2 linked regions of the Cricetulus griseus genome follow. The protein of the gene in region 1 binds, or shares a complex with, the protein of each later gene. Links are inferred from orthologs where the notes say so. Each region holds a gene or a part of one and is shown in the gene's direction. Other genes may lie near its edges.

Region 1 (3,561 bases):
CTCACAAAAGACATGCAGAAAGCAGGCTTCTCTGGGAACCCGTGCTGCTCTTTCTGGCCCGAAGCACCATTAGCTCTTGTTTGGGGTTGTCTCCATCTCTTTCCTCCTCTCCTTAACCACCAGTCTAGTCTCAAAATGTAGATGATAATTAGGAAAGTTAAGTCAGATCACTTCACTCCTCTGCTCCTGCCCTCCAATGATTCCTATTACATTTGAAATAGAAGCCAGGCTCTGCACAGTGACCAATAGGGTCCAGTATGAGCTGGCCCCTTGTCACTACTCAGGTCTCCTACTAAGCTCATCTTTGCTATATTTTGCCCCACGGCTAGTTTACTAATTCAGACTATCACTAGGCAAGCCTTCCCTATTGGCCATAATACTTTTCCAGACACTCAAGTGTCTTGCTCCCTGATTTTCTAGGTCTTTCCTTAAATACCATCTTTTCACTGAAAACATTATTAATTTCTCTAACACTGCTTTCTAGACTGACTCACCAGTTTCTGGCAGATGTTATCTTTATATGCATTCTGTTTTCCATGCCCCAAACTAGAATGCAAGCCCCCAAAGAGGATTTTGTTGGTTTGATTCAATTTTGTGTCCTGGTATCCAGAATAACAATGACTTATAAATAGTAGGCACTGCACACATATTTTGCATGGGCAGTTGAATTCTGAGTTTTCTAAAGCCTGAACTTTTTCAGTTGCACATTCCTATTACTGTTAGTTACTATTAAGCTCACTCTAAATACAGAATGAAACTTTGCTACCTGCTGCCCAAAGTGAAATCAGCTCTGAAGATTCCTGCAGACATGCATCTCCTTCAGCAATTAGAGATGTGTGTGAGAAAACTCCTGTGTCAAGAGAAAGATAAAGATGTCCTGGCTATTGTGAAAAAAGTAAGTGTCCCTCCTGCTTATAACACCTGTGTCCTGCAGTATGGCAGTGTTAACTTAAGCTTGATAGGATAACAATCTGCAAGTGTGGTAAGAACTAATAAATGACAGAGGGCATTTTTTAAGGGGCATTTTTGTTATTAGCAGTATGAGCTTGTGGGAGAGCTGAGCACCTTTGAGGTATTTGTGAGCCTGGCTCAAATGATGACTAATTCACTAGATTTTATTTCTAAGTGTTTGCATGGCAATAAAATTCCGGAAGTCATATTTTCTAGAAGAGTGTGGGAAGACTCCCTCAGAGTGAATCCAGTAGTCTGTTTGACTTTGTAAAGGAACTAGAGCTAGAAACACTGGCTGCTGGAGAACATACTAATAGGTGGTAGGGCCAGCATCATGGAGATCTGGCATCACCCAAGTACATCTCTTTCTAAACATTCAAACTTTATGCCATATGATTTTGCTCTAGCATGAGGATCTGTTTTGTGGATTGTGTGGAAATGTTGAAAAACTAAGTAAAAAATTTGGGTTAGTGACATCAAACCTTAAAATGCTTCAGCTTTCAAGAACTGACTTAACATGTGGGTGTGACTTTGGAACACAGTTTTTGAACATTTATTGGTGGTGAAAGATTAGCTTATTAATACCAAAGCAAAAAGTGTTCTCTTTGAATACCCCTGGGGAAGGAGTTTCTTTTAGAAATACTTGGCTGATTGTGTTTCATTACTGTTGAACCAACTGTAATTTCTAAAAACTTTCCTTGTAGACAGTATTAGAGTTGGACAGAATGGAAATGTCTATGGATGCGGTAAGTACACTCTACTTTATAGTAAAGAGATATTTATAGTCATCAAGAAGTTGTCCCTAATGATTGACAATGTTGTTTTAAATTTTAAACAGTTTCAGAAAAAAAATTATGAGAAAGATTTGTTGGATCAAGAGAAAGAAAGAGAAGAACTGCTCTTTTTGGAAATGGTATGTTGTTCCCACCCACATACTCCTTTCTGATTAGTTTTAGATGGGCTTTGATAGTAAACCTAAAGCTAATTTATTTCAGCTTTACATTGTTCCATATTTCCTAAAAGACTGAAGAAAAGTCTTGATTTTCTGAAGTTTTATCTTTTATAAATTGGAAGAAAAATTACATTTGAGATTGTTAGGAAAATGAGTTTCTTAAGTGAAACTAGTATGTATTTATTCACATGTATCCAGTCTAGACGATATATTCCCACCTACCCTTGACATCTGTCCTCAGCATCCATTGAGTTAGTTTCTAGCAAGAGCATGATCATGTTTTCTAGAACTCTGTGGCTTTAAATATCCCTGGTGTCAAAGATACTAAGCATCCTTTTGTTTGCTTATTGGCCATACTATCATGTTTTCTATAAAGTCCATTTTGAAAATTTAGAGTAGGTTGTTCACATTCTTATTAAGAGCTCTTTTGTCACATGCTCTCGTGTTGTGAATATTTTCTTGAACACTGTCTTCTCTTGGTGTATTTAACAGTCTTTTGAAAGTTCTATCCACTGCCTACTGCAAATACAGCAGTGGGCAGTGGCTGCCTGTTTAAAGGACTAAAGCCAGGCCAGGCTAGTTTGATTTTGTTGGCAATATTCCACTCTCTCCAAAATCACAAGCTGATGGTCAGTCAGCCTTTCAGAACCTTTGGTGTGGAAATGTTGTTTTTCTGAGGTTGTTAGTTCAGAGTCTTAAGTTTTCTCTCTATATCTTGCTTCAATAAGATATCTTAAATATGTTTGGTAGACTTTTCCCTTTCCTCTCAGTCTTTTGTTTGTTTTTTTATTTTGCTTTTTGAGACAGGGTTTCTCTGTATAGCCCTAACTGTCCTGGAACTTGCTCTGTAGGGCAGGCTGGCTTTGAATTTATGGAGATGCACCTGCCTCTGTCTCCTGAGTGCTGGGATTAAAGGTGTGCCCCACTATAGCCCCTCGAAGGCCTTGAAGTCTTTTTAAAGAAAGATATTTTGTTGTTCGATAAATAGGAATTGAAATAACCATGGTTAAACACATGCTCTGTTGATGAGAACCAATAAATGCTCATTGTAGAGTAATGCCAAAGTCATTGTTTTAGTTGGAAAAACTCCCAAGAGCAATATTCTGTGATATGACATACCACACATTAAAATAGCAACAACAGCACACCTCTGAATTCTGTACCACAGGGGAGCCCCGTTTTTTAAAGGCATTTTTGTGAGGTATATTTGTGTCTCTAAAGCTGAGAGTCATTTTCCTCAGAACAAGCTCCCAAGCTGCACCTGTAACATGACTCTGTGTCCCAACAGGAACAGCTAGAGAAGGAGAAACATCAGAACGATGGGAGGTCCTCCAGTGAGAAAAGCTTTGAGAAGAAACGTAAGTGGTTCTGTCTATTTCCTCTCTGTTCCAGGATTAATGCTGGGTGACTGGGGAAATCCAGGTCCCTTCTTGAGTCTTGTTAATACAGGAATTTAAAGATACATGTGAAGGGAAGCTCAAGAACAACTTGATTGGTTTTAAAAGAAAAACCTTGGAGTAGGCAAGCTGTTCATCTAGGTAGCTTCCTGGAGGAGTGGGACGGAGAAGAGAGAGAGAAAGAGTTAAGCAGGAATGGGGGACAGGAAGGTATGTGGTGGGGAGGGGAGCTTTGGAGAGAGTGAAGCCCAAAGCATTAGG
Region 2 (3,561 bases), about 86 Mb from region 1:
CACACACACACATACATCTTTTAATAGATGACTTTTTCCTTTTTAAAAAAATGACATCTTTTATCAAGCTAGTTTATAGCATGCTGAAATTGTATTTTATATAGTCTTGCCAGCAAGATAATTAAATTTATCATTTATTTCATAGGAAGATGAAAAATTTCTGACAGATTTGTTTGCACAACTGACAGATGAAGCAACAGATGAGGAAAAAAGACAAGAATTGGTAAGAAATCATACACTAGAAGGGTAGAGAAGTGGAATAGCCATTTACACTCAATTGATTCTCTTCTAATTTAAGATTGACCTTTTTAATACTTGTCCTTTTTCCTGATTTCAGGTTAATTTTTTAAAAGAATTTTGTGCATTTTCTCAAACGCTACAACCCCAAAACAGAGATGCTTTTTTCAAGACTTTGTCAAATATGGGCATATTACCAGCTTTAGAAGTCATCCTTGTAAGTTTGCTTCTCTACATTCTGAACTGCCCAGGTGAACCATATCAAAAACTGGATGTGATATTGGAGAGTTTTATTATTTGAAATTATAAAATTGTATCACTTTTCCCTTTCCTCCTTCCCAGGCACCTGCTTGTGTTCTCTCTCTCTCTGTAACTCTAAGTTAATGGCCTCTCTTTCTTTAATTATTAACATATATATCTAAGTACATAAATACAGAAGTTTTTATGAAGTAGGCAAAGCATTTGAGTATAGCTGATATTTAGTGCTAGCTGTGTAGCATAGAGTTAACAGAAATGATACAAGTCCAGTATTAGAGTCCTCCTTTGTTTAACTAGCAAACTGCTTTTGTTAAAATAATTTTTTGCTGGATGTGGTGGTAATACACATTTAATCCCAGGTAGAGTTGGGGAAATTTATGTGAGTTTGAAGTAGCCTGTTATACAAAGGATTCCAGGACTTTGAGAGCTATACAATTAGACCTTGTTGTACATACATATGAACATACATATAATAATGTAATCACATCTTTAATAATTAGCTTTATAGCCTATCAAATGAAATGTTAAAATAAAAGGACATGGTTGAGAATAGTGATTCATGCCTTTAATCCAAGCACTTCTGGTCTCTTTGTGTAGTCACCCAGGACTACACAAAGAAATTAGATCTTGAAAAATCATACATTACACAGACAATTATATACATATTTATAATTCCAGCACTAGAGAGGCAGAGGAAGGACAATGGGTCTCTGAGTTTGAGACCAACCTGTTCTACGGAGTGAGTTCCAGGACTACACAGAGAAGCCCTGTCACCAAAAAAAAAAAAAAAAGGTTTTAAATATATCTTGAGGATGGGGAATGGTGCCGCCACTAAAAATGGTACCTATGCAAGCCTGATGACTAAAATTTAATCCCCGAAACCCATGTCAGAAGCAGAAGCTGGATGTGGGGTGGGTGGGTATGTGGGGGGGAGGGAGGGAGGGGAGAATATGATCCCAGAACACACAGTAAGGTAGGATTCTGAGGCAGATCTGTCCAGAAACTTACAAGACAGCTAGCCTTGAGTATGCAGCACTGCAACAGATCCAAGGAAGACCTTGGCTCCTCCTAAGATTTGTCCTTTGACATTGCTATGTATGCTGCCTACTTGGGTATCAATCCGTGCTTCCTTCCATTCAGTTTGAGAGAGGGTCTCTTGCCTTTTGTTGTTATATACTGCATGCTAGCTAGGTTAGTTGCTTTCATGGAGTCCCCTGTCTTCACCTCTAATCTTACCATAGAAGCACTGGGGCTACAAATGTGGACACTGTCATCCCTGGCTTTGCATGGGTTCTTGGGATTTGAACTCGGGTTTTTAGGCTTTCTTGGTAACTGCTCTATCCAGTGAGCAATCTCCCTAGCCCTTAGATAAATTTTTACAATTCTGACCATTTCATACAGTGTGTTGTGATCATGGTCTCCCATCCTCTTTTTCATTCCTTTCCACTTTAGCTGATCCCTCTCTTTGTCCTAAAGCATCCCTACTTTCCGTTTTGTTTTTTTTTAAACAGGGTCTCTGTATAGCACTGACTGTCTTGGAACTCAATTCTGTAGACCAGGCTGGACTGAAACTCAGAGATACACCTCCCTCTGTCTCCAAAGTGCCAGGATTAAAGGTGTGGGCCACCACTGACTGGCTCTCATTCCTATCTTACTTTCATGTCTTTGTTTTGTTTTTTGGGACCCAGTGGTTTTAATTAGGGTTGCTTATATAAGTGAATGTGGATAAGGAGTTGTTTGCTAGAGCATCAACTTACCAGTGGCTACACCACCAGGAAAGTGGTTCCCCCTACCAATCATTTAGATGTTTGTTTTATGGTCTGGTGCTTTGTGACAATTTCTTTTGTCAGGTTTTGGATAATTTTGTTGATAAAGTTCATGTTTTTATAATTGTAAGAGAATGGCACTTTTTCTATGCAGGGCATGGATGATACACAGGTGCGAAGTGCTGCTACTGATATATTCTCATACTTGGTTGAATATAATCCATCCATGGTACGAGAGTTTGTCATGCAGGAGGCACAACAGAATGATGATGTAAGTAAGAAGTTAACAGAGCAAAAAATAACCAGCAAGGTAAATATTATTTACACTAATAGTAAGTATTTATGCATAGAAGACTATAGCTGGGGTTATGTATTTTTAAGATTTAAACTGCTGCTATTTGGGAAGTGTAGCCATAGTGTTAGGTGGCTCATTTGTCCCCTTAATTTGCTCCTGCCTTAGTTTATAAATTTATTGTATTTGATGTCAACTTTTAAATTATGAAGCTGACTTGTCTATATTGTCTTATTTAAACCCTTAAATCAGTTGACCATTCTGTTTGTGGAACTGTAAGTAACTTTCACTGGAAAGCATTTAGACTACTAGAGGTGGAGCCTCAGAATCAAGAAAAAATATGGCCCTGAAATGTATTAGGGAAGTGTTTCTTTATAATAATAAAAATAAGTTATTTTCTTGTACTCTCATATAAGCTATGGTGGTATTTACTCAGAAATTAGAATAGGTAAATTGGCTTTAAAATCTGTTAGCCTGTCTTGGCAGTGTAGATTGAATTTGGTGGGACATAGTGTATGTAGAAGCCCTGGATGTGTATGAGCTTTTCTACTTCACTCTACTAAACCAGTAGTTCTGTTTTTTCTCCTTCCTCCCAAATTTTACTTAAGAACAGATTCAAACCGTCTCAATTTCCTTGAGAAGAGGAAATTTATGTCTCCTTTTAGGGGAGGGGAGTTTGCAGAATTTCAGCTTGCAGTGTTTCTTGCAAAATGAAGCATAACATTTTTAAAAATCTACTATTCCACCAGTTTGAAGTTGAATGCCTAGTAATTTCTATTTGTGGTTCCTTCTTAAAATTATAGTGGTAGACTACGTGCAGAAATGTACCATGAATTATTGAATCATGATCACATTTTTCTTCTATGAAATAGTCCTATCTTGAGAACCAGACTATCTTGAGTAATTAAAGCTAAAGGCTGTTCTCTTAGGCCCTGTAACCACTGGGTGAGCAGACATGCCGGCCTGTGCATCTTCACACCCCACGAACATGCATTAGGCCTCTGGATT

What was found. The genes of interacting proteins can lie anywhere in the genome.
Region 2: Ppp4r4 (region 1) and Ppp4r3a share a complex: the UniProt entries of both Homo sapiens proteins name them as parts of the PP4 complex. The link is inferred for Cricetulus griseus from reciprocal best matches to the Homo sapiens genes PPP4R4 and PPP4R3A.

Annotation. Positions count from the first base shown.
Region 1 is NC_048598.1:191,010,609-191,014,169, reverse strand, and holds part of Ppp4r4 (serine/threonine-protein phosphatase 4 regulatory subunit 4), read left to right. Parts: intron 1-750; coding exon 751-895; intron 896-1,655; coding exon 1,656-1,697; intron 1,698-1,789; coding exon 1,790-1,864; intron 1,865-3,191; coding exon 3,192-3,261; intron 3,262-3,561. UniProt on the Homo sapiens protein: Putative regulatory subunit of serine/threonine-protein phosphatase 4.
Region 2 is NC_048598.1:104,697,354-104,700,914, forward strand, and holds part of Ppp4r3a (serine/threonine-protein phosphatase 4 regulatory subunit 3A), read left to right. Parts: intron 1-145; coding exon 146-223; intron 224-337; coding exon 338-454; intron 455-2,415; coding exon 2,416-2,571; intron 2,572-3,561. UniProt on the Homo sapiens protein: Regulatory subunit of serine/threonine-protein phosphatase 4. May regulate the activity of PPP4C at centrosomal microtubule organizing centers.